4 linked regions of the Schizosaccharomyces pombe genome follow. Changing the gene in region 4 together with the main gene of any one other region gives a genetic interaction. Each region holds a gene or a part of one and is shown on either strand. Other genes may lie near its edges. The genes, in order: swi6, tfs1, dcr1 and ago1.

Region 1 (3,857 bases), on a different chromosome or scaffold from region 4:
AGAGGTATACACAATTTGAATAGAAGTCATATATATAACAAAAGCGCAACTTGTGACTAATAATTAGATTAAAAACAGTTAGAAATATAATAGTTATTATTTAATTTTTTAAAAGTCTTTGAGGAGCAAGCAAAAAGTCCAAGTGAGAACTCTGTTGTTCAGTCTCAGCATACAGTAGTGTCAATCGATAATATGTATTGCCGAGAGGGGACTGATGTCTTCATGTGTTGCTAGCAATAAAAAAAGATAACAAGGAAATTCGATAAATACATGTTCATTTGCAAAGTTTGCCATAATTTGCCATTATGTGTTTATATGGTAAATCTGCCAATCTGACATAAACATATTTAAAAAAAAAAAAAAAGAGGAACAAAATATGAATTTATCCCAGCTTCTTAGAAAAATAGCATAACCAGACTTCTTCATCATAACTTGCTTGTATTTTTTTTTGCTAATGTACAAAAGCAGCAACAATTAAAAATCTATAATTACAACTGTGTTTACATAGCAACAATTACATTCAAACCCTTATTTATCTTTAGCTATACAGCTATTCTCAAACGAATTTCTCAAGAGGCAACATAGTACTTGATAAAGATTCAAACTTGATACACTACATCTTGACCCTATCTTTGAGTTCAGTTGGTAACCCAAACTTAGAAGCATATGGAACAGAAGAAACGGAGAAGGCAGATATTCATGCACCCTCATTTTTGTTAACAAATTTATCTGCTGAGGTTTATGAGTAACGATTTTGCATGCATAAATTCTTTATTTAACGAGTAAAATTACGTTATTATTAGACACGATTTTGAATGCATGAAGAGCAGTGCATGCTAAATTAATAAATGGTAAAATTAAAGAAATTAGGTTATCTAGAATGTCAAACCTTAGGTTATTTAGAATGTCAAACCATAACGACAAAAGGTATTTTACATTTCTCAAGTCACTCGTAATCAATTCAATGTGAAAGAAAACAAAGGCGTTCATAAACTAGAATGTGATGTTAAGCGCCTAACAAAAATTTGTATAAGTATAATGTTAGATGCATTTTTCGAGTAAGAGAACAAGAACTCATACTACGACACGGGACTTGATAAAAGCAATAACGTCAGAAAAAAGCGAAATCTAATTTATAAACAAAAGAAAAAGAATTTTTTAAAGGAACACAAAAAAATTATTCATTTTCACGGAACGTTAAGTGGCTTTCATAAAATTGAAGCATCTTCTGAGGACATTTTTTATTGGTGATAGTACTAGGATGATGAGATATTGCACCGTTCTTCCAAGTCAGATAAATTTCCAAGGTTCCATCATCTTTTCGTTCAATTGTATCGATGCTAGATACCAAGTCTTCCCAAGAATCATAGTTTTCTACTTGTTTAACCGTCAGCTCTCTGTTGTCCGGAAGTTTGGGAACTTCCGGACTAGGCTTCTTTTTCGGAGTAACATTGCTAGGGGTCTCTGCTATTTGAATATCCTCACTTTCATTCGATTCTTTTTGTGAAGGAGATTTAGACTCATTGTCAGATTCAATGTGACCATTCGGCTGACCAGAAGGTGGGCCGTTCTCATTAAATTCCTCTTGCGATTTATCGGCGAATTTAATAGTTTTCTCATTCACATCTTCAATCTTTTCATTGGAATCTTTGTCGTGTTTATCTTCATCAGTTTTACGAGACTTTGGTGAAGGCTCCTTTGCTTCGGGCTTTTTAGGTCTTGCAGTCCTCTTTCTTTTAGAAGGTTCTGGTCTTCCTCCATGTTCATTCCAATATGCTTCTATCAACTGTTTGCAACCGCTACAATCGGCTTCTGAACTCCATGTATTATCACTGGGATCGTCATAACCTTCCCATTTCAAAAGGTATTCATAGCCTCCACCTTTTCTCGCCATACGGTGTTTTAAAACCTTTTCTACAACATATTCATCCTCTTCTTCTTCTTCTCCTCCTTCTTCTTCTTTGGCATTTTCTTTCAATTTCTTCGACGAAGATTTACTTTCATGATCGCTTTCAACTTCATTGTCCGACGACCCAGAGTCTGCTTTATGAGAAGCAATAGCCTCCTTTGTCATGCTTGGTAACTCTGGTTCCGAATCGTCGTCAATAACTGATCGTTTTGAAGTAGAGGAGCGCCGATAAGATCGAACACCTCCTTTCTTCATTTTTCACTTGTCTTAATATGAAAATAAACGAGATTTCAGAATATTTTAAAAAGTACTAAACATCAATTTCGCGTTGGTCTTTACAGGTTGTTTGCTCGTTTAGCGAGACATGTTTGGCTTGCTTTTCATGGTGTACAGAATGGCTAGCATCACATAGAGTTCGTTTATTAAAATATTGCATAGAAGTACTGTATTAATCGTTGTCTAAAAGTTGATTAACGACGCCTAATTTTGCTTAGATCACTATCAGTAATAATCATTATTTCAAAAGCATCTCAATTTCCTAGTGATTTACTTAATGCGAAATACGAAAATATTGAACAAATATTACCGTTAGAAATAAAATTAACATTTTAAGTAATGCTGCGAGTAACAAGATATTTGGCTGTTACGGTTGGCATGCTGATTTGTTTTCTAAAGCAATGCTGAGTCTCTCAAGATTGATAAACAATCTTAACTAGAAAACAATTCCACCTTTTAAATTTCGTAGGCAATCATCGTCAAACAACAAAATATATATTCTTATGAGGATTCTTTTTGCACTACATATTACACTGAATAACTTAAGTCGTCAACGAAGTCCCGAGTGGCTCAATCGGTTTAGAGCGTCTGACTCTTATGATGGTAATCAGAAGGTTGCGAGTTCGAGTCTCGCCTTGGGAGTTTATTTTTTCAATTTTTTTACAATGATACTACAATTTTTGGAATGTAAAGATTACTTAAATACAAAATGGTACGTTTAAAGAAATACGTACTTAGGGAAATTATGATAAATTCAACTTATTTGAGCACTCAAATATCAAAAAGAATGAGTAGTTGATGAAGTATCTTCAAAATTTCAAAAAACATGAACTTAGAGGCATCTGTACTGTTTTTGTAGACCATGGTTTATTAACATCTAAAAATAATGAAAAATAGCAAAAACATATGGTGTTGCATTAAAAAATTAGTAACGAATATGAAAGCATAAACATATGGTTTAGCCAGTCCAAAAATAACCCAATGTCTTGTATTGCAAGACACGGCTACCTAACATTTTCCAATCGCTGTTTTTTATCCACAGCTCCGATACGATCCGAATGCGATTGTATATACAAGCACCCTTCCAGGCAACAAATTGAGCATCCATACTTCTTGGTGGAGGAATTACCGAAATAGTAGGGATGTTGGCACGCTTGGAATGGATACGCTCTTCCAGTAAATGAGCAAAGCCCGGGAACTGACCAGCTCCACCGACGATCAAAATGCTTGAGTAAAGATTTTTTGCCTTCTCATCACTTAAATTTCCATCACATGCACTAAATATACTCTGGTTGATTGCATCATCCAAAGGATATATCAGTTTCTCATTCTTTATTTCTGGAGCAGCAAGTGAGCCACAATATACTACCCGTGGAGGCTTGAATTTTACCGAAGGTGTCACCAAATCACTTTCTTCTTTTTTCTCTTCATCATCTTTTCCATTAGCTTTGATGTTGGATATCGGCGTAGATATTTGCAATAAAGTGGTTTGGGCAAGTGATTCGGGATTATTCGGTTGGTTGTCATATACATCGACCGGCACTGGAAACAAAGTATACCGATCATGAAGTTTATTTTCATTTTCAAAAATGTCAGGGCGAAAGAATCCAAGAGGTGCAAGCATTGTTTCGTCAAGGCTTTTAAATGTAAATTTTCTAGTCCCTTTATCAGG
Region 2 (3,570 bases), on a different chromosome or scaffold from region 4:
CGTGGTTTTGATCGTTTACGTGAAGCTGGTTTTACAGAAACCGAGGTCAATAATTTGCGTAGCCAATTTCATCGCTTACGAGGAACTAATTTGGATTCACTCACGGAAGACGCTATCAGAGAGGCAGAAGACGATTGGATTGACAATGGAGGACAAAACTCTTCTGCCGACGAACTTGACATGTCATATGAAACCTTGTTGGCTGGAGTATTAATAGGCTTTTTTGGAGGAGCTATTGCTTGTTATTTTCTTTGGGAAAGGACAATGTTCTCTCTGAGAATGCAATTATCCATTCTTGTCGGAATTATTTGCAATTTTGCATACGGCTTATTACACTCGTATCGATGGTAAACCCGTTCATTTTTGTTAAAATTTTTGTCCAATACAATTAATCGTTCCACTTTTCGTTGCACTTGTTAATTATGACTACAGTTTAATTGAGGATTAATAATGTCGAATTTTATGATCTATTCGCTTTGATCAAGCGTTAACTTATTAAATGTACGTTTAAAACACCATTTGGATTTATTAAGAAGTGTAAAGTAGGATAACTGTAAAAGTGTCGTATTGAGTGTGCAAAAGTAAAATATGCATATATTCATCGCTAGAATGAAAGATACCAATCAGATCCTAAAACAAAAAAAAACACACACAATAGAGGAGAGTGCTTCTAAAACAATAAAAAGAAGAAGAAATATGAAGGATTATTTTACAACCGGTATCTAAATGGGCTGACCCAAGATTTAAGAAAATTTCCAGCGATTTCCGCAAACAGTACATTCACAAAACTAAAAAAAAATTAGTCCAAATATTCTACCCAAATAGACTAATGCTTACCGTTGTCATAGGCTCATCAGCAGATCTATACGGATTGTTAATAAATTTTACGCGATAAAAAGTACTAAAATCATGACAAATAACATACCTTGTTTGCATTTGGTAATAAGAAACTTTTTTTTGCTTACACTTCCCACAAGTAAAAAGGTCTGTAACAGCTTTTTGGGGTTTAGCACCTTGCGCATGGAATAAATTTTCTTGTTCTAGCTTGGCATCTTCCTTGCGACGGTCTTCTGAAGCCAATTCGGCAGAAGTCATGGTACTGAGTCTTTGCGGAGTAATTTCATTTCGTAATACTGATGCTCTAAGTTTCGGGTTATTTTTATCTTTAAGATTCATATACAAGGACCGCATTCTGTTTCGATATTCAGAACCAGTTTTACCTGCTGCTCTAGCAAGTACTTGCGCATCAATTTCTTTGGCTTTGGCTATTATTAATGAAGAAGATTCATCCGAATCTATGACTAATGCATTGTACATTAATCCAATACAGTTGTTGCGAATCTTGTCATCAGTCACATTGACGTTCACATTATCAGATTTAAAAGTACGCTGACCACTGCTGCTTTGTTTTTGAACTTGTTTTTGAGCTTGAGAACCTACATCCGCATGTTTAGAAGGCGTGGAGGAAGTTGTAGTTGTGGTTTTCAATGGACGACCTTTACTAACATCGGCTTTCCATTTTTTTACAATTTCCCGAGCTTGCTCACCAACTTTCTCATTGGGATGAGATCTGAGCTTGCCAACGACTAATCCCAGCCGGGTTTCCTAGCATCATTGGTTAGTATTTTGAATACCGATTCTCCATCAAATGTTGGTACTCTTGTGGAATTCGTATTTTAAGAAAGATGTTATTTCTATTAAGTGAAATTTGCAAAATTCATGTAATATATTGTCAACAATCCGTGCGAGAATACTACCATATTGCATGTAATAAACCTACCTTAAGTAATTCTTCGGTAGCAACTACTTCATTTTTTAAACGTGTCATAATGTTAATTATAGTCTAGCTTGATATTAGCTTCAAAACCATCTGTAAGTCCCAATAGCACAAATTACAAACCTCTATATTCTTTCCCTGAATAGCTTTTTCCAAAGCTGCTTTCGCAGATCGGATATCAGCAGAGTCCATGATTCAAATTAAGTTCGAATACTGTAAACACTGCTGTTGGTTAGCAGATTGCAAAATTAATAATCTTATGGTGGTAGAGGATTTATTTTGGATAACGCGCTTTACATCTCACATGTCTACTAATACCGTTGTGATTTTTCTTCACCACCATAGTTGCTGATGTGAATATCAACACCCCGTAACGTGATTTTGTTAGTTGAATTCTTGAGTTTGACAGTTTTTTTTTCAAGTTTGCAAACTGTTTTCTGTTTATCGCATTAGTACTCGTGTTTATTTTACAACGTTAAATTTTCATGCTCCTCCGCTGACTTGATCTTACTCAATTGTTAATTGTTTTATCAGCTTTGTTTATGAAAAGCAAAGATTATAATGTTGTTTGATCAAATTGAAGAAACTTGATGTTCAAGAATTTAAAAGTTTGATATTCAGTTTATTTTTGAAACTTACTTTGGTCTATGTGTTCGTTCGTTTTCATAAATTTAGTTTCATGATTGTACTGAGAGACTCAAGTGACTATTCCGACTCTGAAGTAGACCTGCCAAGTATCGAGGTGAACGGAGAACGAGGAAATGTTCCTACCTCAGTGCTTTGTAATGTTGAAGGATCTTTGTTGAATTCTAATCCTGCTTTAAGGCAACCAAATTTGAAATGTATAAAACATAATCAAGACGTTGAAAATACTACGTTTCAACTAGACTTGCGAGGCTGTAGGGTTCCTTCTTCTCAACCTCAAGTTATAACTGAGTTAGAAAACAATATTGACATTCCAAAAAATATTGATGCAATGCAAAACTGGATTTTTCCACAGACTCAGCAGTATAGAAATTATCAAAAGGAATTTTGTGAGCAAGCATTATTCCACAATTTATTACTGGCTCTACCTACTGGGTTGGGAAAGACATTTATTGCGGCAGTGGTCATGTTAAACTATTTTCGTTGGTTTCCTGAAAGCAAAATAATATTTCTTGCCCCCACAAAACCATTACTGTTGCAACAAAGAGTTGCTTGTTCCAATGTAGCGGGAATGTCACCAGGTGCTACCGCTGAATTGAACGGTGAAGTATCACCGGATCGTCGACTTTTCGAATACAATACGAAACGAGTATTTTTCATGACTCCACAAACACTCCAGAATGATTTAAAGGAACATTTACTGGATGCCAAAAGTATTATTTGCCTGATATTTGATGAAGCTCATAGAGCTACTGGCAACCATTCGTATGCTCAGGTTATGAGGGCAGTGCTTAGATCTAATAGTCATTTTCGAGTCCTTGGTTTAACCGCAACTCCAGGATCTTCTACCGCCTCTGTTCAAAAGGTAGTAGATTGCCTCCATATCTCCAAACTCATTGTTCGCAACGAAGAAAGTATAGATATTCGCTCATATGTTTTTCATAAAAAGATTCAGTTGATTAAGGTCACGATCTCCTCTGAAATGAATATTTTAAAATCGGACTTTGCTAACCTATACCGGCCATATTTTAATTTTCTCCGTCAAAAAAAACTTATACCTATCAATTGTGAATGCCTTAATATAAAAGCTTATACGCTTTTCGTTTCTTTACGAAAGTATTCCTTTAGTTCAAAAAATGTACAATCTA
Region 3 (8,003 bases), 1.2 Mb from region 4:
GGTGACTATATGTGCTTTGTTCAATTGATACATTCCAACTTGGGTTCTTGGACAACCACCGCTCAATCTACGTGTCGCATTTTCGATTTGAAGCATCCTGAAAACGATTTGTGGACTTCTACCAACATGGATCAATTTAGCTTTGAAAATGACAAAACCTCCTTTGTCGCCAAAAATTGCTCTGTCGTGTTGGAAGACCAAAAGCGTTACCGAATTCGTGCCTCCATCAACATGGACTCCATCATCGATATAACTGTCCATCAAGACGCTCCTCCTTTTAAAATCGGTGAAGATGGAAATTCTACTTATGGAACAGATCCTAGTAAGCCCTGGGCTTCCATGAAGCATACCTTTTGGCCTCGCACTCGTGTTGAAGGTAGCATCGTTGCAAGGGGTAGAGTTGTGGATGTCACTGGTCCCGGCATGTTTGTTCATGCACTCCAAAATGGCAAACCCCACCATCTTGCTTCATCTTGGGAGTTTGCCCTCTTGCAGCATAAAAAGTTTACCGCCATCATGATGCAGTTCAAGACACCCCCTAGCTATGGTTCTACTATTGTCAATATTGGTGGTATCGCTATGAAAGACAAAATTATTAGTGCAACTGTCGATAATACTATTGAGCACGTTGAGACCACACTCGATCCCGATACGGAATGGCATGAACCCACTCGCATTTCCTACGAATGGGACGGAAAGGATGCTGAAACATACACCGAAGATATTCATCTTTCAGTCGATGCTCCTTTGGGAAGACGTCTTCAACGCATCGACGTTCTTGCCGAGATACCATCTTGGCTTAAGGGTTTCGTCCATGGAGTCTCTGGAACGAAACCTTTCATCTACCAATATTTCTCACCTGTCAAATTTACACTGAAGATGGGTGACGAGGTTATTGAAGATGAAGCCACGCTTTTTAATGAGACTACTTTTATTTCATAAGCATCTTTTAACAAAAATATTCAAGCATAAATAATTCGATGCATTTTGGGCTTAAACAAAGAGTGAACGTGCATCCATCTTTTTTTCAGAGCTTTTCTATATTAAACTCTCTGGTTTTGTATTCTTTTTTTCCTTTTTTTTGTCCTGTTGTTTTTAATTTCGTGTCTTCGAATTTTTTTTTCATACTATTTTTCGTTTTATTAAAATAACTTCATATAGACTTATCACTTATACTCTGAACTTGATAGTTGTGCTGCTCTCATATTGAATATGATTCTTGTTAATGGTCTTGTGCTACAAGCTCTGAAATTCATTCGTTCTCTTGTTTGTGTACTAAATCGATCTTGTCATCCTAATACCTATACTGATGGACATGGGCAAGGCATCTGGCAAAATTGTGCATTCGCTTATGTTTATTGAAAGACTGCAGTCTGTGTAAACGAGCGAGAATGTTTTAAAATTTTTTAAAAATTTGAATACTTTTCATTTTAGAGACTTCAAATAATATTGTTTTCATCATTAAGTGGATACTAATTAGCAACTTCTCAACTTCTATTTTATTTAAAAAACTAATTCATTGTAAATGTTGTATTGGTTTTCTACGAAAGCAGTTTTTCTATTATTGATAATTTCGCTTTTACCACTTTATAATAAAAAAGTATTGTATGTTTAATGTTTTCTAATATTTTTTTAATAAGTTTTCCTATGTTCCGATAAGAGCAGGCAGTGAACGCGTAAACAGATATATATGTATGTATTTATTATTAAAATATTATGTAAATAATTCTTAAAAAACCGAATCATTCTAGCATAAAGCATTGGAAACCAGTAATTCAACGTAACTGAATTTCACGGATTTACAAGCAAGTCGTACAGTCCTTTCTTCATTCAATAATATTGATTTAATAATAATATGTATATGCAATTTTCCTTTTTTTTTTTTTTTTTTTTTTAAACATTTTAAAATAAAGCATAGGCGTTTAATCATTTTTTATTAAAGTGCGTAACTTATGTTGTAAAAAACTACCACCTACTTTTCTCTTAAAACACCAGAATCTATAAGTGTAATGATTCCCCTTAACAACGAATTTAGAAGCTATCAATAGTATTGCGTCTGTTTTTATCAATCTCACAAACAATTATAGGAAGTATTCTGCTCGTGTGATTGTTCTTTTTCTTCTGGTAAAGATGAACATATGCATGTTTATTTGAATAGCTTAGGATTCATTATTTTTTAAGAGACAAATTTCTCGTCAATTGAATGAAACCTTCCGCCTTTATTTTCTTTTTGAATGGATATTTCAAGTTTTCTACTTCCTCAACTTTTACGTAAATATCAACAAGATGTGTATAATATCGCGAGCAAGCAAAATACTTTACTTGTTATGAGAACGGGCGCTGGTAAGACATTACTTGCTGTGAAGTTGATAAAACAAAAGCTCGAGGAGCAAATTTTAATCCAAGAATCAAATCTTGAACATAAAAAAATATCAGTTTTTCTCGTCAACAAAGTCCCTTTGGTATTTCAACAAGCGGAATACATTCGATCTCAACTACCGGCTAAGGTTGGCATGTTTTATGGCGAATTATCTATAGAAATGAGCGAGCAGTTGTTGACTAATATTATATTGAAGTATAATGTGATTGTTATTACTGCAGATTTGTTCTATTTGTTTCTTGCAAGAGGTTTTCTTTCAATAAATGATTTGAATTTAATTATATTCGACGAATGTCATCATGCAATTGGAAATGATGCGTATGCTCGCATCATGAATGATTTTTATCACAGAGCCAAAGCAGTATTGTCAAAAAAACATTTCACCCTACCAAGAATTTTTGGTATGACTGCTTCACCATTCACTGGAAAAAAAGGAAACTTATACCATCGACTGTATCAATGGGAGCAATTATTTGATTCTAAAGCACACGTGGTTTCGGAAAACGAGCTAGCCGATTACTTCTGTCTTCCCGAAGAAAGCTATGTAATGTATTCCAATAAGTTGGTTGTGCCACCCTCGGATTCTATTATCAAGAAATGCGAGGAAACTCTTCAAGGATGCAAGTTAATTTCTCGGGCTGTTAAGACTGCTTTAGCAGAAACCATAGATATGGGTCTTTGGTTTGGGGAGCAAGTTTGGTTATATTTGGTTGATTTTGTGGAAACGAAAAGATTAAAAAAAAAGGCTTTAGGGAAGCAGTTGTCAGATGACGAGGAACTGGCAATTGACCGGTTAAAAATATTTGTTGAAGATTGGAAAAATAACAAATATTCAGACAATGGCCCTAGAATCCCTGTTTTTGATTCCACTGATGTTACTGATAAAGTCTTTAAACTCTTAGAATTGTTAAAGGCTACTTACCGCAAAAGTGATAGCGTTCGTACGGTTATTTTCGTTGAAAGAAAAGCTACGGCGTTTACTTTAAGTTTGTTTATGAAAACTCTTAATCTGCCTAACATCCGCGCTCATTCTTTTATAGGACATGGACCGTCCGATCAGGGTGAATTTTCTATGACATTCAGGAGGCAAAAAGATACCCTTCATAAGTTTAAGACTGGAAAATATAATGTTTTAATTGCTACTGCAGTTGCAGAAGAAGGTATCGATGTACCATCATGTAACTTAGTTATACGCTTCAATATTTGTCGGACTGTCACCCAGTATGTCCAATCTCGAGGTAGAGCGAGAGCAATGGCTTCAAAGTTTCTAATTTTTTTAAACACAGAAGAGTTGTTAATTCATGAACGCATTCTACACGAAGAAAAAAATCTTAAATTTGCCCTTTCAGAGCTCAGCAATTCGAATATTTTTGATTCATTGGTATGTGAGGAAAGAGAACGTGTGACTGATGATATCGTCTATGAAGTTGGCGAGACTGGTGCTTTACTCACAGGGTTGTATGCAGTTAGTCTGCTTTATAACTTTTGTAACACACTTTCAAGAGACGTATACACAAGATATTATCCCACTTTTACAGCTCAACCCTGTCTTTCAGGTTGGTATTGTTTTGAGGTAGAATTGCCAAAAGCCTGCAAAGTTCCAGCGGCTCAAGGATCTCCCGCTAAATCAATTAGGAAAGCCAAACAGAATGCTGCGTTCATCATGTGTTTGGATCTGATTCGTATGGGTCTTATAGACAAACATTTAAAACCCCTAGATTTTAGAAGAAAAATTGCCGACCTTGAAACTCTTGAGGAAGACGAGCTAAAAGATGAAGGTTATATCGAGACATATGAGCGCTATGTACCAAAAAGTTGGATGAAAGTTCCTGAAGATATTACACGTTGCTTCGTCTCTTTACTTTATACTGATGCTAATGAAGGAGACAATCATATATTCCATCCCTTAGTGTTTGTACAAGCTCATTCATTCCCCAAAATTGATAGCTTTATTCTTAATTCGACTGTTGGCCCCCGAGTTAAAATTGTTTTAGAAACGATTGAGGATAGTTTTAAGATCGATTCTCATCTGCTTGAGTTGTTAAAAAAATCAACTCGTTATCTACTTCAATTCGGTTTATCTACTTCTCTTGAGCAACAAATACCTACTCCTTACTGGCTTGCGCCTTTAAATTTGTCATGCACGGATTACCGGTTCTTAGAAAATCTGATAGATGTTGACACTATCCAAAATTTTTTTAAATTACCGGAACCTGTTCAAAATGTTACTGATTTGCAATCCGATACTGTATTATTAGTAAATCCACAGTCAATATATGAACAGTATGCTTTTGAGGGATTTGTCAATTCTGAATTTATGATTCCTGCTAAAAAGAAAGATAAGGCCCCTTCTGCCTTATGTAAGAAACTTCCTTTACGATTAAATTATTCACTTTGGGGCAATAGAGCTAAATCCATTCCCAAATCACAGCAAGTGCGCAGTTTTTATATCAATGACCTCTATATTCTCCCAGTCTCTAGACATTTGAAAAACAGCGCCTTGCTAATACCCTCCATACTGTACCATATTGAAAACTTATTGGTCGCCTCTTCTTTTATCGAACACTTTCGACTTGATTGTAAAATTGACACTGCTTGTCAGGCTTTAACATCTGCGGAATCACAATTGAATTTTGATTACGATCGTCTAGAGTTTTACGGAGACTGCTTTCTAAAATTGGGTGCTTCTATTACAGTTTTTTTGAAATTTCCTGATACTCAAGAGTACCAACTGCATTTTAATCGAAAGAAAATTATTAGCAACTGTAATTTGTATAAAGTAGCAATAGATTGTGAGTTGCCGAAGTATGCTCTCTCGACTCCCTTGGAAATCCGTCATTGGTGTCCATATGGTTTTCAGAAAAGCACATCGGATAAGTGCCGCTACGCCGTTTTACAGAAATTATCGGTTAAGAGGATAGCAGATATGGTCGAAGCTAGTATCGGTGCATGTCTTTTAGACAGTGGACTTGACTCAGCACTCAAGATCTGTAAATCTTTAAGCGTTGGTCTGCTGGATATCAGCAATTGGGATGAGTGGAACAATTATTTTGATTTAAATACATATGCGGATTCACTGAGAAATGTTCAATTCCCTTACTCCTCGTATATAGAGGAAACTATTGGATATTCATTTAAAAACAAGAAACTACTCCATTTGGCATTTATTCATCCTTCCATGATGTCTCAGCAAGGTATTTACGAAAACTATCAACAGTTGGAGTTTTTGGGTGATGCTGTATTGGATTACATTATCGTACAATACCTTTATAAAAAGTATCCTAACGCAACTTCTGGCGAATTAACTGATTACAAATCTTTTTATGTGTGTAACAAGAGTCTATCATACATTGGCTTTGTTTTGAATTTGCACAAATATATCCAACATGAAAGCGCAGCAATGTGTGATGCAATATTTGAATATCAAGAATTAATTGAAGCGTTCAGGGAGACTGCTTCAGAGAATCCGTGGTTCTGGTTTGAAATTGATTCACCAAAGTTCATTTCAGATACTTTAGAAGCTATGATATGTGCCATTTTTTTGGATTCTGGGTTTAGTTTACAATCTCTACAATTCGTTTTACCTCTTTTTCTTAATTCGTTAGGGGATGCGACACATACTAAGGCTAAAGGAGATATTGAACACAAGGTATACCAATTACTGAAAGATCAGGGATGTGAAGACTTCGGAACAAAGTGTGTCATCGAGGAGGTGAAATCCAGTCACAAAACATTGTTAAATACTGAACTCCATTTAACAAAGTATTATGGGTTTTCATTCTTCCGCCACGGGAATATTGTTGCTTACGGCAAATCCCGTAAAGTTGCCAATGCAAAGTATATTATGAAACAAAGACTTCTCAAATTGTTAGAGGATAAGTCTAACTTACTTTTGTATTCTTGTAATTGCAAATTTAGTAAGAAAAAGCCATCAGATGAGCAAATAAAAGGAGATGGAAAAGTTAAAAGTTTGACTTGAGACTTGAAATATACAGTATTTCATTTTTTATGACCGCGGCCCTTGTAACTTTTCAAACTTTCAATTTGGGTCTCCAAAGCACGGATCCTTTCGTGATATTCAGAAAGTTCCGAATTCAAAGCATCTCGAGTTTCAATCATTTTCTCTTCTTTGGCCTGAAAGAAGCTTTCAGTTTCATTAGTCATTTGTGTTATCTTTTGTTGAATCGCACGTTTCTCATTGTTCAAGCGTTCGTAATGCTCTTTTTTCAGCTTAGGAATGCCACTCTTTCGATTCGTAAGCTGCTCTCTACGATATCGTTCATAGATGTTGGTTTCAGTTGTATTTATAAGCTCGAGCATATGCCTATTAATTAGCAATTTCTTCAATTTTAAAAAATCACAATGTGTTTCTTCATATATTTCAGAGGTTCCCCATGGGTAACGACGCCCTTGCGATTTTTCCCCATCGTCTTTGCAAACTTCATTTACACTGGAAATGATAGCGTAAGGTAAGGATGAATCTAGTAATTCGGCAGTTTCGTAATCAGAATACTCTGTTGATGGATGGAAAACGTCGATTGATTGAGCTTCCAGGATCCTTCTAATTTTTTGCTTTATTTGTGTTAATTCGGGAGTTGTAAATGTATCTGCCTTTGCTATTACTGGCACAAGGTTTACATGGGTCGATAGCTCCTTCATAGCTAACACATCTAAAGGAAGCATTCCAAACGAAACTGGCGTAATAAAGTAGAGACAAACGTGGACTCTAGTGTCTTTCCTTGGTACACGGAGAGAGTTTTGATCATGAATTAGATACCTTTCGTGTTGTTCGTCTAAATATTCTGCAACCGTATTCCAGCAACTGGTATTGTCAATGAAATCACCGAACCCTGGGGTGTCGAGCACCGTAAGATTGATATGAAAACCATCTTCTTCAATTACGGCCTTATTCTTTTTAACTTCTAAGGTCTTTTTGGCTATGGTCTCCTTAGCCGTTTCATATGATTTTTCTGGTTGCAAAGAAGTAGCAAAAAGAGTATTGAAGAACGTTGTTTTTCCAGTACCTGAGGCTCCGCAAAGCATGATTGTTAAACCACATTCTTTTCTTTTTATTAAATTTTCTCTGTGGTATATTTGTTAATGAATGATTTATGAATTTATGACTAGATTGTAACGATAACATACCTTTTGGATGGTAGACTATCCAAATTTAATAATAATTGAAGGTTTTCAGTCAAAGACATCGTAAAAATTTATTTCTCGAACTATCTGTATTTTGCTCTTTAGTAGGTTCAGGTTTGTTTCAAACAGCGTTTATCAGCGAAATATAAACAAACAACCGAATGTCCAGTGATAAAAAGCACAGATAAATAAATAAATATGCCTCATCAAAAATTTTTAAATATACAAATTAAATTATCTACATAGAAGACTTTTAATTCTTTTTCACATCTTGTACCAAAATACTTTCATAATCCTGGTTTACCAGAGTTGAAACAAGAATACAAATAAAAACGATGCTCAAATTTACTAGCTCTTTAATCATTAGAAGAATAAACATTAATTTTTAAGACTAAATATGAACTTCTGTTGAATTAACTGCCTTGATCCAAAAAAAACACAAAACGTAAATTGTACTTTTTTTTATTTTTAAGACAGTCAT
Region 4 (5,549 bases):
TTAATTGCATCGTCAATACTCATTATACCATGTTTAGTTTCTACAATTCCAACTTCTGCAGGCTCCAACCCATTCACAAAGCTAACTTTCCTTCCTTTGGCAAATTGCAACAACTCAGAAGGAGTCAAGTTCACCTTTCTACTAGGCTTTGATACTGCACGTATGTAGTGAAGAACCGGTTTTCCCTCAAAGTACTTTAAACCCAACCATAGACGGCGGGTCGCTACATTTTGCCTAGTGGTGATTGTGGGTAAAGCATCGGGTCCATGAATATCTCCGCGTTGAATCGAGCTTAAAAATCCTTGATGATACAAAACAGCACATAACTCGAGCACACTGTTACAGTTAGGAACGCTTGCTAACGACTTGCGAGCGCGAAATGAATTTTGCAAATGCGAAAAAACATAATGCAATTGCATTTCGACTTTTTTAACACAATCCTAATCTTTTATAAGCAGTCCAACAATAAAAGCCTTTTTTTTCTATACAGAATGGTGTTTTGAGGAAAGAAAAGAGGTATGAATGCAGTTTAGCTAGTCACTTCCAAATACCTCTCTCTGTACTGGAAGAATAGTAAGTAGTGAACGGTGTAGCTAGTGTTACACACTATTAGCAAGTTAATGGACATTGCAGTAATCACTGGATAGTAGTATATTAACGACACGATACTAAAGTTCACAATAAATCACTATATAATAAACTAAAAGCACCGGTTTACTATGTTTGGAAAACAAGGCGCAAAATTGCAAAACCAACGGTTATTACGGCAAAAGCCGTCTACCAAATGTTAGAGATTTACTTTGTACAGAATAAAATATGGATCTAAATCGCTGTGTCAATCTGTTAATATTATAGCATTCAAATTACCATGAAACCCACAAAGTTGTCAGAAGTGGGAAGCGAATTTTTGTGCGTTTAGTAGTTCCAAAATCCTCGAAAGGTATTCGCAAATGTAATAATCGAAAAAATTATAATAAGCAGTGTTCAAAAAAACAAGCGGTACAACAGCGAACGCCTGTAAAATATAGGGATGTAAAAAAGCATTTGAATACAATGTAAATTCACAATTGTATAGGATTATAAAAATTTTTTATAAAATAATGGCATAACGAATTCTTTACTGATATTTTAATTACAGAAAAGAAAACGTGAATTGAAAACAAAAGCCTAACAGTATGGAGAACGATTTATAATGCTTCTTTATGTGGCCGATCGTCCAGAAATTACTGATTTACTCAGTATAATATATTGATTTAATTAAGTTTCGCTTCTTAAAAAGGTTGTTAGTTTCGGTAAGCTGTTTAACGAGTATTACACAAAGCACAAGGCATTTTAATTTCATAAAAAAATGTCCGTTTTAATTTGAAAGACGTTCGAAATCAACACTTTTCAAAAATCAGTGCAATTACCGAAATCATTTACTTGAAAGTTGCCAGATTAATATTCTCAAAAGCAGGTTGTAAAAATGTATTATAACTATAAAGAGGATTTCAAGCAAGCAAATATAACAAGAAAAAGAAAACAAGTAGTAATCATTGATTTTGAACCTCCCGGTATTGTTAATATAGAACTAGTAAACAAATAGTAATTCAATGTACTATAATTTTCGTCAATGGTTACAAATAACAATTGGGTTCACTTTTATTGAATCACAACCACGATATAAAGAAAGAAGGGTTAAAACTCAAAAATCCGTCGATTTGGAACCTTTAAAAAAACATAAACCTATACAAAATTATGCGGTAATTTAAGAAAAGCTGTTAAAGATAAGCTTATATTTCTTATGTTCAGAAATTAAATAAGACTTATGTTGCGTTTGCGTGCTCAGAGAAGTATAGAAATAGACCTTAGTATATAGAAAATTCGAATGTATTAAGCATGTAAATAACAAAGTGATAAATAAAATATTTTCTTGATAGTTTTTTGATTTAATATAGTTTATAACTCAAGTAGGTTTTATATACAAGACAACTATGATGAGTCCTAATCTAGGGTTTGGTATATATAAGCTTCCAACCGCCAAAGCGAATTGTCTTCAGCCAACTCGTCCTTTATGATTCAGAGTGAGTAGGATGTCGTATAAACCAAGCTCAGAAATAGCTTTACGTCCCGGTTATGGAGGGTTGGGCAAGCAGATTACTTTGAAAGCTAACTTTTTTCAAATCATTTCTTTACCTAACGAGACTATCAACCAGTATCATGTAAGTTCCTAGAAATCGCACATTTTTATGGAATTAGAGCACTGTAAAGGAAATTTACACATTTAAAGTAAAAGCATAACAGAACACGTGGCCTTTCTTGTCTGAAATATAAATATAAATACAGAAATAAATCGTGCAAGTGTTACTGGAATTGTTTAAAGGTACTTGTTAGCTTCATTCGTTATTCGACTTTACTTTACTATACCTGGTTTATTTTCTCACTTTCTTTTAATGTTCTGTTGTTTACTTTGCCTGCTACATCATTTTGTATCTGTCTTGCATTGCACGATTCTTTTCTTTTGTATTTCATCTCTTCCTCAAATTTTGTACATTAACGTAGAATTGCATCAAATTAACGCCTTTTGTTGTAGGTCATAGTAGGTGATGGTTCACGTGTCCCACGAAAGCAATCCCAGTTGATTTGGAATTCTAAAGAAGTTAAACAGTATTTTGGATCTTCCTGGATGAATTCTGTTTATGATGGGCGAAGCATGTGTTGGTCTAAAGGTGATATTGCTGATGGCACCATCAAGGTAAACATAGGCAGTGAGTCGCACCCTCGAGAAATTGAATTCTCTATTCAAAAATCATCTAAAATTAATTTGCATACTCTTAGCCAGTTTGTAAACTCAAAGTATTCTTCGGATCCGCAAGTTCTAAGCAGTATAATGTTTCTGGATTTGCTGTTAAAGAAGAAACCATCTGAGACTTTGTTTGGCTTCATGCATTCTTTTTTTACAGGTGAAAACGGAGTTTCACTTGGAGGTGGAGTAGAGGCTTGGAAAGGGTTTTACCAGTCTATACGACCGAATCAGGGTTTCATGTCTGTTAATGTAGATATATCTTCGAGTGCATTTTGGCGTAATGATTCTTTACTTCAGATCCTTATGGAATACACAGATTGCTCGAACGTTAGAGACTTAACACGTTTTGACCTAAAACGTCTTTCCCGCAAGTTTCGGTTTCTAAAGGTGACCTGTCAGCATCGCAATAATGTCGGTACTGACCTGGCGAATAGAGTTTATTCCATCGAGGGATTTTCCTCAAAAAGTGCCAGTGATAGCTTTTTTGTTCGCCGTCTTAATGGTGAAGAGCAAAAAATCTCTGTAGCTGAATACTTTCTTGAAAATCACAATGTTCGTTTGCAATATCCTAACCTACCTTGCATATTAGTAAAGAACGGGGCGATGCTTCCTATTGAATTCTGTTTTGTTGTAAAAGGTCAGAGATATACTGCAAAACTGAATAGTGATCAAACTGCCAACATGATCCGTTTTGCGGTCCAACGACCTTTCGAACGTGTCCAGCAAATCGATGATTTTGTCCATCAGATGGATTGGGATACAGATCCCTACCTAACCCAATATGGTATGAAAATTCAGAAAAAGATGCTCGAAGTTCCAGCTCGTGTTTTAGAAACTCCTTCTATTCGTTACGGAGGAGATTGCATTGAGCGTCCCGTTAGTGGACGTTGGAATTTACGTGGTAAACGGTTCCTTGATCCGCCGAGGGCTCCTATTAGATCTTGGGCTGTAATGTGTTTTACTTCAACGCGTAGACTCCCTATGAGGGGTATTGAAAATTTCCTGCAAACATATGTACAAACACTCACTTCGTTGGGAATTAATTTTGTTATGAAAAAACCTCCAGTTTTGTATGCAGATATTAGAGGGAGTGTTGAAGAACTATGTATAACGTTATATAAAAAAGCTGAACAGGTTGGTAATGCTCCTCCTGACTATCTCTTTTTTATTTTGGATAAAAATTCGCCTGAACCATATGGTTCCATTAAACGTGTTTGCAATACTATGTTAGGGGTTCCTTCTCAATGTGCTATTAGCAAACATATTTTACAAAGCAAGCCCCAATACTGTGCAAACTTAGGCATGAAGATTAATGTCAAGGTTGGAGGAATTAATTGCTCGTTGATACCCAAATCCAACCCTTTGGGAAATGTTCCTACTCTTATTCTTGGTGGAGATGTTTATCACCCTGGGGTTGGTGCAACAGGTGTTTCGATTGCTTCAATTGTGGCATCGGTAGACCTAAATGGCTGCAAGTATACGGCTGTTTCACGTTCCCAACCTCGTCATCAAGAAGTGATTGAAGGAATGAAGGATATCGTGGTATATCTATTGCAAGGGTTTAGGGCAATGACTAAACAACAACCACAACGTATTATCTATTTCCGTGACGGTACCTCGGAAGGACAATTTTTATCAGTAATAAACGATGAGCTTTCTCAGATTAAAGAAGCGTGTCATAGTCTATCACCAAAATACAATCCAAAGATTCTAGTATGCACAACGCAGAAGAGACATCACGCTCGTTTCTTCATTAAGAACAAATCCGACGGAGATAGAAATGGAAATCCCCTCCCTGGTACAATTATTGAAAAGCATGTTACTCACCCCTATCAGTACGATTTTTACCTTATATCCCACCCATCTCTGCAAGGCGTTTCGGTCCCAGTTCACTACACGGTTTTGCACGACGAAATTCAGATGCCACCGGACCAATTCCAAACACTGTGTTATAATCTTTGTTATGTTTATGCAAGAGCAACAAGTGCTGTTTCCTTGGTTCCACCTGTTTATTATGCGCATTTGGTTAGTAACTTAGCCCGTTATCAAGACGTGACAGCCGATGATACTTTTGTTGAGACATCAGAAGCATCAATGGATCAAGAAGTAAAGCCGCTTTTAGCTCTATCAAGTAAATTGAAAACAAAGATGTGGTATATGTAATGTTTGATGGATTGCATGCAATAAGTAATGAAATAGATATACGATTGACTACTGGATTGCCCACAACTTTTACTTCCTTATTAAATCTGCTTCTGTTTTTATTTTGCTTTATATTATTGTAATTTTCTTTAATCATTTAATGTTAGTTTTTTTATGCTCTATCCACTGTTGATAGCTTGACCATGTTCCAACGATCAACAAATGTTGATAACGATAATACTAATGACATTCACTTAACCCAAAGCCCGAACTTTATGTAAGTGTCACGCCAATATAGAAATACAGATAAACTAAATGATACTTAAGGATCTCAGAAGAAGTGATTAAAATCGATAAATTCCATGCACAATGGTTGAACAACCAATTTACCTATTTGTCTAATTCAGATTCATCTAGCTTTTTTATTAAGAAAAAACATCATTCAAAGCAAAATCATTCAAATTTGAAAACAGCCTGTTTGAAGAGAATCAGAATTTCTAATTTTTTAGAGTATTTGGGTTAAGTTCAAGAACCAAACATTGCATACTGTGTTAAGATTTCGTTTAGAGGAGCAAAAACAAGTCAATAATGATAATTTTACTTAACTGATTTGCTCCAAGAT

The links.
Region 1: mutations in ago1 (region 4) and swi6 together harm fitness less than expected from each alone (positive genetic interaction), as found in Schizosaccharomyces pombe (3 studies listed by BioGRID, with this or other methods).
Region 2: of ago1 (region 4) and tfs1, changing one suppresses a phenotype caused by changing the other (phenotypic suppression), as found in Schizosaccharomyces pombe (3 studies listed by BioGRID, with this or other methods).
Region 3: of ago1 (region 4) and dcr1, changing one suppresses a phenotype caused by changing the other (phenotypic suppression), as found in Schizosaccharomyces pombe (3 studies listed by BioGRID, with this or other methods).

The regions. Positions count from the first base shown.
Region 1 is NC_003424.3:1,701,838-1,705,694, forward strand, and holds swi6 (heterochromatin (HP1) family chromodomain protein Swi6), read right to left. Parts: upstream 2,262-3,857; 5' UTR 2,165-2,261; coding exon 1,178-2,164; 3' UTR 569-1,177; downstream 1-568. Other genes in the region: Ino80 complex actin-like protein Arp8, read right to left, coding at 3,144-3,857.
Region 2 is NC_003424.3:2,114,413-2,117,982, forward strand, and holds tfs1 (general transcription elongation factor TFIIS), read right to left. Parts: upstream 2,045-3,570; 5' UTR 1,970-2,044; coding exon 1,901-1,969; intron 1,844-1,900; coding exon 1,781-1,843; intron 1,606-1,780; coding exon 926-1,605; intron 863-925; coding exon 838-862; intron 789-837; coding exon 744-788; 3' UTR 501-743; downstream 1-500. Other genes in the region: protein dsc3, read left to right, coding at 1-351; ATP-dependent 3'-5'-directionality DNA helicase fml2, read left to right, coding at 2,457-3,570. UniProt on the Schizosaccharomyces pombe protein: Necessary for efficient RNA polymerase II transcription elongation past template-encoded arresting sites.
Region 3 is NC_003421.2:1,504,522-1,512,524, reverse strand, and holds dcr1 (dicer), read left to right. Parts: upstream 1-1,967; 5' UTR 1,968-2,234; coding exon 2,235-6,359; 3' UTR 6,360-6,379; coding exon of another isoform or gene 6,380-7,463; 3' UTR 7,464-7,525; downstream 7,526-8,003. Other genes in the region: ER to Golgi ceramide transport protein, lipocalin superfamily Svf1, read left to right, coding at 1-942; septin Spn6, read right to left, coding at 6,380-7,463, 7,526-7,584. UniProt on the Schizosaccharomyces pombe protein: Required for G1 arrest and mating in response to nitrogen starvation. Ago1 regulation of cytokinesis and cell cycle checkpoints occurs downstream of dcr1. Required, indirectly, for regulated hyperphosphorylation of cdc2.
Region 4 is NC_003421.2:332,065-337,613, forward strand, and holds ago1 (argonaute), read left to right. Parts: upstream 1-2,014; 5' UTR 2,015-2,072; coding exon 2,073-2,201; intron 2,202-2,407; exon of another isoform or gene 2,408-2,572; coding exon 2,573-4,948; 3' UTR 4,949-5,006; downstream 5,007-5,549. Other genes in the region: mrps8 (mitochondrial 37S ribosomal protein uS8m), read right to left, coding at 1-419. UniProt on the Schizosaccharomyces pombe protein: Required for G1 arrest and mating in response to nitrogen starvation. Ago1 regulation of cytokinesis and cell cycle checkpoints occurs downstream of dcr1. Required, indirectly, for regulated hyperphosphorylation of cdc2.